Linked DNA regions of Oryzias latipes. The protein of the gene in region 3 purifies or fractionates together with the protein of the main gene of each other region. This does not show direct contact. Links are inferred from orthologs where the notes say so. Each region holds a gene or a part of one and is shown on either strand. Other genes may lie near its edges. The genes, in order: med9, cdk19 and ccnc.

Region 1 (2,693 bases), on a different chromosome or scaffold from region 3:
AGAATTATATATACGTTTTCATTCTGCTGTTCGAATGAAAATACATGTTTATAACACATCATTTATTGAGACATTCTGAAATTAAATGGACTTATATATAAAAAGAGCTAACAGCCTGAATAATTATTCATTAGGACTCCATTGTTTGCACAAATGATAACCATGGCACAATAACAGAGAAGGAAAACAATTAGACTAGGAGGCAGTGCAGCACATATAATTAGAGGCTATTTAGTAGATATCAACAGATGTAATATTTGGCCCATTAGAGACAATATCATTTATGATTAAAATCAAACTTTGTTTAGAGAAAAATGCTGATTCACATTAAATTAGATTTACTTTGCATGTTGTGAAAAGGAACTACATAAAGTTATGTGAAAGTGTGTGCCGTGGCAAATGCTTTCCTTTATTTAAAAACCTTTTAGATTCAGACTAAATGGTCTGCTCAATAAAGCATCAAAGCCCTTATACATTTATTATTAATAATAATAATAATAATAATAATAATGAAAACAAGTAAAACACTATAGCACGATTTAATTTATTAAAAATAGAGATTTACAACTTGAAATAATAACAGATACTTCAGAAACAGAGCAGATCATTCACACTGATGCAAACAAAAAAGAAAAACAAAAGTCCCATTTTTCATTTCAGGTTTTTTTTTAAATGGTAAACCGTAGAAATAAACGTCTTTGCTCAAGTCTCCAGTTTGTAGTCTGTTGTCTCACGACGCCTTAGGCACATCAAACATGCACAGTCCCTTGTACTTCTGCAGCAGCTGGTTCTTGGTGCGGACCTGCTCCCGCAGCGTGGCCAGCTGCTGCTGCTGCTCCGGCGGACTGCAGTCTATCCCAGACATGTTAGAGATCTGCTCCCGGGTTTCTTGGATCTTTGTTTTTAGTTTTGTCAGCTCCTGGTTGACATCCGGGCTGTCCTTATCCATGCTAAGCAGAAACATAAATAAATAAATAAATACATAAATAACAGACTTCTATTAAAGGCAAAACTGCACCCATGATGGGAAGCGTTCACGTCACTTCTCATATAGCAAACCGTAAATACCCCCAACGAGAGTTTACCGTGAACCATTTAGTAAATACCAACATATACGTAAACCCAGCACACAGGAAACAGCTTACCATTTGATAATGTCGTGAACTAAGGGCAGCAAAGAGCAGTCTTCGGTCTCCTTCACGAGCTTAGCCTGAGCTACCGCCATTGCTACTCCTTCTGCAACTGGCGCAGGCTGATGACGTCACAGGTTACTCCGAGAATCTCAACTGAAATCACAACTTTAAAAAAGTTCAATTGATGTTGAACAACAACAACAACAACAATGATTATAGATGAATGAGTGAATGATTGATTGAATGAATAAATGAATGAATGAATGAATGAATGAATACTCTAGTTATCAAAAGTATGAAAAAAATGATTACCTTGAGATGGTAAGTCATATAAGTCATGGTATGATTCCCAAACTATTAAAAAGTCTTGACACAAAACAAGAAATAACAAAGAAAAATTTGCTGTAATAAATTTCAAACACAAGAAAAAAGATCTAAAAGATTTGGGACTGATTTCTTTCTGATAAAGCCCTTGCAATTCTCGTGGCATGTCATCATTTTGCTCAGAATAGGTCCCAGACCTATTCCAAGGTTGCTCGGGCATCAAGTCCGGGTGCCTCCTGTACGCCTCTCTGGGGAGGTGTTGCGGGCATGTCCCACTATGCGGAGGCCCCGGGGAAGACCCAGGACACGCTGGAGAAACTACGTCTCTCGGCTGGCCTGGGAACACCTTGGGGTCCCTCCCAGAAGAGCTGGAGGAAGTAGCAGGGGCGAGGGAAGTCTGGGCATCTTTGCTTAGACTGCCCCCGTGACCCAGTCCCGGTAAAGCAGAGTAAGATGGATGGATGGATGGATGGAGGTCACAGACCATTTGTCAATGCACATAATAAACACATGACCTAGGACTTGGAATGACCTTGGCTACACGTCTTGCTACTTGGTAACCTGAAGTACTGACATCGAAAGTCAACACAAGACATGCTTGAGAACTGAAAAATGGGGAGCTGTGTAAACACTAGAGCTCATAGCAAGCACAAATATAGTCTCACGGTGCGTCACGCAATTTGTCTGTTTGGAAGATAAATGAAGTGTTTCATTCAGGTCGTGCATCTCTGTCTGGAAACCCTTTTTCCTTTTCTGTTTACACAGTGCGTCCTTGTTGATTGGGGATACAATATTTAGTATGTAGAAAATAAAACAAAATAATGAAAAGCTTACTTCCTGGTTATTTTCTAAAGCCCTGTTTGGCAATACATTAGGCAACACGGAGAATTAAAATGGCTAATTTGCTCAATTCTTTGTTAGTACAAGTGACTACACGATTATGCATGTGTAGCAATGACGATTCTCCTGTTTGATGTTGAATTATGTGTTTTATTTTTAAATGTATTCTTTTTAGCCCAAATAACTCATGTTTACATCCATTTCACATGAAATCAAGTTTGACCTCTTGATGCAGCGAACATCCCATGAGTTCATTACTCACACCTGGTGAACACAGAAAGGGAAAAACTCAGTCTCCCCTGGAGAAGATAGAATGCCAACGTGACACAGGCAGTGAGCATTAAATTAAGTGTGAGGCTTTTACCCAGAGGTGTGACAAAGAATGGATATCTAAAT
Region 2 (4,107 bases), about 4.8 Mb from region 3:
TTGACCGTACCGGCAGATGAGCCAGAGTCACAATGGAGTGTTGTGAAACTCATCGTGTAGGTATGTGGCTGAATCAGCAGCGCTGATCTGACCATCCCAGATGACGAAAAAAACTCAAACCCAGTCAAGACGTCCAGTTCCATACCACTTTCATCCTACATGTAAACATTTAAGGCTGCTTTCACACTTCACACAGTGTCTCCCCAAAGAAAGTCTGGGAAGGAAAGCGAAGCGTGAACAATAAAACAAGTTTGACCTCCTGATCCATTTAAAAGAACCTCCAGCTCATCAACACAATGGACGATCCACTGAAACAAACCCCATTCCAAGAATCGTCCAATGTTCCCTTCGTCCCTATGAAAACATGAATATACAGAGATTCTGAATCAACTCAAGCAGTAGGTCCCACAAGGAGTATTTCAGAACCTAACCGTAGGGTTCTGTCTTTTGTTTTCCATGGTTGAAAAAGGAAGAAAGAGACAACATTTGGATTTCAAAACAGGAGATTTTTTTAACTGGAGCTTTTATTGTTTTTATCGTTGACCGGTTTCTGAACTTTACAGGGTAAGATCAATATCTACTTGATTTATAAAATATGTGTGTGTTACAAACATTCACAGCTGTTTTATGAAACAGAACAATAATTCTTGTGACCCTTCTGTCGTCATGGGAACCAGAGATGACTCTTTAGCCACAACATCTGATAAGGTCAGTCTGCTTTCAAGGTTGTGAGCTTTTCTTGACGGTATGACATTCTGAGGCCCAAACGGTCCTTTTGTGTCCACCTCACGCATCCATCCATCATCCAAATCTGCTGAATACCTGTTGGGGTAATGGGGTTACTAGGGCCCATCCCAGCTGCTATTGGGCGAATTGGCCCATTGACTGCACATGACAACTGGACTGGGTAATCCCTCTCCCATCACATTCTAAATAGGAAGTACCTGCTGGTTCCTAGCAGCCCAAATCCCACAGACTTCTATTGAATAATAAACAGATATTACTCAGTCGTTCTATAGGTCCGAATAAACATTCTAGCTCTGCTACCCTTTTTAACATGTTCTTGCTAATCCTAATTTATTTTCCCATATTTTTTCTGTAGTGCAAGCTATTCACATTAATGACCAATCTGATGCCTCAATAAAAGTATGTGGTCTAACACGGAACGTTTGAAGCGTTTCATTGACAGATTCTCCTAGGCACGCTTTCAGTTGATAAAGGTGTGGACTTTCAACAAGTTCACTCCTGATTAGCGAAAGTTGTTGCCATAGAAACATTTACTCAGATCAATCACTGCTTACCAACATAGCAACATGCATATTGCAAAAAAAAAAAAGGCAACTGAATTGACTTCATTTAGTGGAACCAGAAGCAAGCCATTTTGTATGGGTGATGTCGGTCCAGTTCTCATTTACAGACAAGATCTGGACAGATCACCAGTCTGTCACAGGACCACACAACGAGACAAACTCACATCTAGGGACAATTTTGAGTCACCAATTAACCCTTGATTGTATTTTTGGACTGTGGGAGGAAAGATGAGTTCCTGGAAGAAACCCACACACACACAAGAAAAACATGCAAATTTCATACAAAAAGGTCCCAGCCAGGATTCATACCAGGAACTGCACGCCAAGAGTGCTAACCATGCAGCCCTATCAAGCTGCAGAAAAAAAAGTTCAAAATACAAAACAGCATAAAGTTCTAACAAATCTGTACCGATTTCCTACAAAACTGCAAATTTTAAAAGCAACATCATGAAGATCACCTCTGACTGACCACAGACTGATGAACTCCACCTTCAAACAAAAACCCACAGCTTCTGTTTTAAACTCCGAGCCTTCATGCCTGCTGTTTCAAAGTCCCACAGAGGGTCTATGAAACAGCAGTCATGGGAGCATCTGAGTCTTCCTCCTGCTCCTTTGATCTAACAACAAAGGTGTTGCTGGAGGTACACACGTGACAAACTATTACTAAAGTTTGACGTCTCTACTAGAGCCAAAGCTGCTGCCTAAAAAAGCCGCGAGGCGCAACGCGGTCACGTCGACCTGCGTCCGCGTGAACTCCCCCCCCCCCCCCCTCGATAAAAAAAACAACAACAACAGCCGCGTTGTTTTAACATTTCGTCTGGGACTTAGTTTAGAGGGGGGGGGGGTATTCGCGCGCATTTGTATGTTATGTGTATGTGTGAATGAGTGTAATCGTGGGGAGGGGGCGTTGGTGGGTGAGTGAGTGAGTGCGCGCGTGCGTTCCATGAAAACAAAAACACAGAGGTTTTTGCCTTGGTGGGTTTCGAACCTACCGAGCCGCGCGGCCCGTTAGTGAGATCTGAGACCGCGAGCAGCAGCGAGCGGTCGATATGAGACTTCGGAACAAAACAAGAACGTTCACGGTTATCTTCTTACCCGTCTTTGCGCTTAGCTTTATAAACGTGCCCGTAGGTGCCTCGACCCACTTTGCAACCTTCATATTCGAAAAGATCTTCCACTCTCTCCCTCTCCGCTGCCAGCTTTGTTTTGAAGTCGTAATCCATTTCAACCCATAAATACGTCTTAATTTACAAAAAAATAAAATATTAATTATTACATGCATTCATTAAATAATCTGGTCGTTTTATTCCCCCACCATTTCCTTGTTTGGGATTTTGGTCTGCTCCGCTTAATGTTCACTGGCTCGTTGACGTTTCTAATTGGCGCGTGTTGCCAGATGGGTAGTGTAGTTCCAATGGGACGTTGACACCATTGAGGAAACAGTAAAGAGAAGGAAAATAAACTACTACCCGCGTTTCTTGATGCGGTTTGTTGCACTTTGCGTACTAAAGAACTTTCTTCAAAAATGTTCCTCTGCTGTTTGACTTTATGGAAATTTTTGTCTGAAACATCAGCCATTAATTGAAAATATTATTTCCTTAAAACTTGTTTTACCACTAATAGTAGTTGCAGTATTCATTTTAATAAGAGAAAAAAGATTTTAAAAAGTATTAATTATGATGTAATAATTATTTGATTATAAATACTGTTGTTGTTAAAATCTAACTTTCTCCGTAAGTAAAAAAAAAATTATCAAAATTATTGTTGTTAAAATCTAACTTTCTCAGTGAGTAAAAAAAACCTGTTTAAAGAAACTACTATAATGAAAACAACTGTATGTATATCTCTTAACAAAGCAAATGCATACTAATTTTTATATTGCATTTATACGTTATAGCCTATGTGATCATAATTTTACTGGATAAAGGATTCAAATGAGGGGGGAACCTCAAATATTTTGACCTGTTACTATTGTTTTCTATAAAAGATAGAGTAGATACTGTCTTTTCATTATTTTTTTTTTTATATTCGTGGAGAAAATTAATCTTTGAGCTCCAAAATTGTAAGTAAATGTATTTATGTATTTGCTTGTATATTTAAAAAAAAACAATCAATCATCCACCCAAGTAAATTAGTACAAAATAAGTATTGATAGAAAAAAGACAGCTTTTTAATTATACTTTAGACTTTTACAAGTTTTCTTTAGACCTAAACAAGTTTAAAGAATAAACGAACGTGTCTATTACGTCACAGTGTTTGAGTCATGAGTGACAGATCCCTGGACCAATCATAAAGGAGTAAATAAAACCTCACCAGGAGAGTGGCTCAGCGCACCGCTGACGTAACGGCGTCGTTGTATAAAATCACCGCGCGCCGCTTCCTCAGTGCTCTACACAGTATGGCCGGCGATATTAGCTAGCGCTCGCTTACGTTGTTCTCTGCTACAGGGAAGACGGTAACTCAAGACAAGCAAACAACCAGATTGTTAAAATACTGTACCTCAATAAGTTAAAGCGAACCAAGGAACGACCATTTTAAGCTGTAAACCATACTACCAAGGTTTGACAGACTATTGAGGTGTCTGTTGTCTCATCATGATGATGGAGGATCAGGATAACGGTGCACATTTCTTCGAGGGGACCGAGAAGCTGCTGGAGGTCTGGTTCTGCCGCCAGGATGACACTAAGGGCACCGGGGACCTCCGCTCTATCCCAAGGTTTGTCTTCTCCGTCAGTCAGTGGTTTGGTCGTTAGCCTCCGGACCACATGCGCGGCCTCGTTGCTATGCTACGTCGTCG
Region 3 (4,435 bases):
TGTGAGTTAAACTGCTCTACTTTCAAAACCTAAGAGGCATTTCTTACCTAAAGCTATCATGAAGGGAGGGTAGAGCAGACACAGATCTGTCCTGTACGTGTCGTTCACTATTCGCCTGGTAAAGGCAGAAAACAATGCAAAGCCTTCCAGCGGAAAAATAAGCTAACATCAATGGGTTTTGTTCAAACGAGGCAGAACGTACCATGCTAAGGGCAGCAGCATGTCCTCCTGCCCCATGTCCTGCACATACTGCAGCAGAGGTCTGTAGGGGTGGTACACAATCAGGCAGCAGTCCTGAAAAATTAAGCCAATCAAGGATCAATTCTTCTCTCTATGAAACAACTCATCCTTTTTATCTAGATTTCCACCCACCATTAGCTCCAAAAGGTAAAACTCACATTCTAGAATCTGGGGGGAAAAAAAAGAGGTTTAGAATTATTTCAAAAAGACATTTAATCATGTTTTCACTTTGAAAATGCCCCCCAAAATTTGTGAATTCATTTTTATTTATTAAGTCTCGTCATCAGACTGGCCTTTGACCTCCTGCTGTACAGATGATGACTTTGTTTGCTTTTAACAGCTTCGCACTTCATCATTGTCACACTTTTACTAAGTGTCCAATGTCCACAAGATGAATGATGTTTACGAGTCACGGCCCTCTGCTACCTCAATCTCTGCCGTCTGAACCCCCCCCCCTCCGTAATTTATAGCTTATATAGCATTACGTCAGAGCCGTCTTGTTCTGGAAACTCTGGAGATCTGCGAGGCAAAAGCATTGAGCAGCAAGCCCCCTGACTGACTTTTTTTTTGTCAGCAGAGTGTGAACATTAGCTGAGGAATCTAACGCACTGATAGGCAGTAATGTGGCAACACTGTGATACAGTCTGAAGGCTTCTCGGTAAGCTGCAATGCAGCACATAAATAACTTTGCAGAGGAAGCAGTTTGATGTGACCTCACCTTCTTGAAACTTAAACCAGTAAACCTTGATGGCATTTACTGTTTACCGTCACATTTCTGCATCGTCAGATTTGTTCATGATTCTTAACTTTTTCATAAAATCACAGACGTAATCGGATTACTTCCACTGTGTTTTACTCACATGATTCATTCTGTAAGGAAACTCCTTTGGAAAGGCATAAGAAAATCTTGTTTTTACTACAAAAAAACAGAAGAAAAAAAATTTGTGTTGCTGGAAACTCCAAATGAAAACAGGGAAAACTTAAATTTGAGATCCACAATGTGGGTCACTTACATACAGAGGTGGCGGCTGAGATCAATCTGGTGTTGGACACGACTCCAAATTCCTACAGGAAAATAAGCAATACAAAACAGATTATCGTGTGTACTAAAGAAGCAGTTAAAGACCCTAAAATGTGTCTCACTTATGATTAAAAATGAAATGTAACATGAAATGTTAAAGATGATTCCACCAAATTTATACCTCAACTTTAGAGGCCAGGAACACACAAGTGGGAGCCATGAGCACCGGATCTATACTCTTCAGAGAATACCTGCAAAATGACACAAGGTATTTAAATATTAAACAAACAGATCATGGAAAGAAATGCTGACGACGTCAAAAAGTAAGAGTAGCCAAAGATAATCATGGCTACATGGGTAGTAAGCACAGTATAGTTAAGGGAAAGAATTTAAAACAAAAGAGGAAAGTTTTTTTTTTGTTTTTTTTGCCTTCCTAACTGTTATGCTAATGTCAGCAAAAGTAAACATTCCTTTGTTTACTCATTGATACATCATGTCGACAGCCTTTTGTTACAGGGTTCAATAAACCAGACCAACTTATCCGCTCCCGGACACAAAAGCTGTTGATGCTCTGCAGAAATGAAACTGTCATCAACACTGATGTAATCTCATTAGGGCTGCCCAATATGTTCACACTTTACCCTCCATGAGCTGTCAGCACAAACGTGTAAAATACCAACAGCTTAACTTATGGAAAAAGCGTTTCGAGCTCCTTACCGGGCGTAGAAGCGCTTAAAGTACACAGTCGCAGTAGCAATGACCTGCTGGCGCAGCTTCAGATGTTCGCCCAGAGCTTGGATAACTGAAAAATACCAAATGAAAAACATTAGTTGAAGTGTGTGATTTAGGTTTTGTTCGTGACTATTCAAGATTTTCTCATGTTTTCAAACAGACCCGGAAACAGACCCAAAACCTGCATGAATGTATTAGAAAAAAAACTCACCATTTGCAAAGAAAATCTGAAGCTTCCAGTACTCCTCCTCCGAGAGAAACTTCAGGTCTTTCTGGCGCTCCTTTATGAGGTCCTGTTTGTCCAAGACCCACTGCAGACTTTAAAAGATAAGCAAGATTACTTTATATGATAAATTTATACAGACGTTTGAACGGGTCAAATTCACTTGACTAACAGTAACAAGCTCCTGACGTGACGGCAACAAAACACAACGAAAACAAGAACCATTGCTGGAGCTCAAAGGAAAGAAAGTCCACATTTTTAGTTACAGTGTGTTCCCCAAGTGTTATTTTTACACCACAATGCTATAAGTAAACTGTTAGCTTCAACGCAGAACAAAAATAGCAGCTAGCTAGGCCTCACAAGCGAAGCGGCTGATGATTACGACAAAAACACACACAACGTCGATATTATTTTAACAAAAACTCACTAATGAGAACTCTGCCAAAAGTTACCCGCCATCACTGCAGTTGAGGTAGAAATTTACAGAAAGGAAAATTGTGTTTTTTTTAACCAACAAAAGAGCGGAGACAGCGAGAAAAGTAATTAAAGTGGCAGAGCTGGTGTATCACGAATAACGTTCCGACGAGCCCAAAGATTGGTTCCGCAGTCTCCTGTAAATGTCGGGAAACACGATTACTTCAAAGAGGGTATACTCACATGTTTTGCATGATTAAAACATTTATAAAACTAATTGTTTAAGATGCCATTTACCATGTTTAGACGTTTAAAGTAGATGTGATGAGGCTAGTATATGAGGTTTTCAAGCAACAGAAGGGAAAAAGGAAATAAAGAAAGTGGTCAAATAAACATAGCATCCTTTATTTCAAAGGGTTCATTGATTATCTCCTAAACTCAATTGAATATTAAAGCATTTGGGTAACTAGAGCTTTTATACCATATTTGTTTGTGGTTAAGTCAACTACAAGTTGTTTTTTTTTTTAATTATTTTATTTTGGCTATAGTTATTCTACATTGTGTAAAGGGTTATACCTAATATAGTCTATTAATATTAAAAAAACAAAAAGCAGCAATTAAGGACTTTTGACTTTTAGCGATTTAGCGATCAGCGATTGCAGACATCTTTTCTTTGGTCTAAACAAATTACGTAGCCCTATAGAAAAACAGGAAATTGTATTCTATTGTATTTATTTAATTTCAATTAGCCTTTCGTGAAGTCAGTGGTGTTCTGTTTTTTCAAATGTTTTACTTGTTTTTATTGTAATTAAGACAACTAAAAATCAGTTTGTATTGTTCATTTTGCTTGTACTTAACATTTGAAAGTAATGTTTAATTCAGCTTTTACTTCAAAATTAATTAAGTCCTTCATCATTCGAAGCACAATGTTCTTTCAACAGCCTATAGGCCAAATTATTTGGCTTGTTGTTGATAGATGCCTGTGCAGGCATTCATACTTGGTATGGAAGGGTTCAGCATTTCACTGTAGTGTTAGGGGAAGGGCCAAGAAGTGTATAAAGACCCCACCTCCTCAGACTGACAGAAGAAGCAAAGGCTCCATTTCCAGTTTCCAACTACAGTTGCATCAACTTAAAAGCCACCATGAGCCGAAGCCCGGAGAGGATGTCTTCATACCGCCGTTGTTTTGAGGACAACATTGCCTCAACATCCCACCTCCGGGTTTCCAGTCCTTCTCCCACCAGGAGAGAGAACCGCCACCGCTCAGCCAGCTTCAACCGAAGTGGCGGGTGGAAGTTGGGGGGGCATAGAGCACTCACCAAGCAAAAACTGACAAGGTAGGTCATCACCTCAGCCAGCTACACAAAAAGCCCACAACACAAAGCCACTTACACCATTATTTTTGGGCTCCTGCAGCAGTTCAAGTATGGGGGTCCTTTGTGTAGGTTCATCCCTGGAACCGGGGAATAAGATGGATCTGGATGTGGCTGCAGCACAAAACCAGGCCTTCAAGTTGACACGCACCAATGAGAAGCAGGAGATGGTTGTTCTCAATGATCGTCTGACAGTTTATATTGAAAAGGCAAGATACAAAGATTTACAAGTCGAATATGCAGCTTTTGCTTGGCTGTCACGTTCACACTATGACAAACCTTAAAACCTTTTCTGTGTTTGGTGCTTACCTCTTGGGAATTTTGCTTATTTAAGAAAAGTATTAAAGCCCGGTGGCAACTGGGTAGGTCTTTCACTTTTGTGTTTATTTGCACAGGTTCGATCATTGGAATCCAAAAACAACCTTTTGGAGG

Evidence for each region.
Region 1: the proteins of ccnc (region 3) and med9 purify together in Homo sapiens (affinity purification with mass spectrometry; 4 studies listed by BioGRID and IntAct, counting the BioPlex papers as one, with this or other methods). This does not show direct contact. The link is inferred for Oryzias latipes from reciprocal best matches to the Homo sapiens genes CCNC and MED9.
Region 2: the proteins of ccnc (region 3) and cdk19 purify together in Homo sapiens (affinity purification with mass spectrometry; 8 studies listed by BioGRID and IntAct, counting the BioPlex papers as one, with this or other methods). This does not show direct contact. The link is inferred for Oryzias latipes from reciprocal best matches to the Homo sapiens genes CCNC and CDK19.

What each region holds. Positions count from the first base shown.
Region 1 is NC_019866.2:10,874,938-10,877,630, reverse strand, and holds med9 (mediator of RNA polymerase II transcription subunit 9), read right to left. Parts: upstream 1,278-2,693; 5' UTR 1,226-1,277; coding exon 1,146-1,225; intron 951-1,145; coding exon 731-950; 3' UTR 526-730; downstream 1-525.
Region 2 is NC_019882.2:10,351,789-10,355,895, reverse strand, and holds the start of cdk19 (cyclin-dependent kinase 19), read right to left. Parts: upstream 2,902-4,107; 5' UTR 2,629-2,901; coding exon 2,626-2,628; exon of another isoform or gene 2,552-2,625; coding exon 2,406-2,551; intron 1-2,405. Other genes in the region: amd1 (S-adenosylmethionine decarboxylase proenzyme), read left to right, coding at 3,905-4,026.
Region 3 is NC_019882.2:15,128,171-15,132,605, forward strand, and holds the start of ccnc (cyclin-C), read right to left. Parts: upstream 2,802-4,435; 5' UTR 2,676-2,801; coding exon 2,644-2,675; intron 2,312-2,643; coding exon 2,205-2,311; intron 2,064-2,204; coding exon 1,979-2,063; intron 1,513-1,978; coding exon 1,443-1,512; intron 1,306-1,442; coding exon 1,254-1,305; intron 1,157-1,253; coding exon 1,101-1,156; intron 409-1,100; coding exon 373-408; intron 295-372; coding exon 203-294; intron 116-202; coding exon 48-115; intron 1-47. Other genes in the region: glial fibrillary acidic protein, read left to right, coding at 3,774-3,967, 4,047-4,212, 4,399-4,435. UniProt on the Homo sapiens protein: Component of the Mediator complex, a coactivator involved in regulated gene transcription of nearly all RNA polymerase II-dependent genes.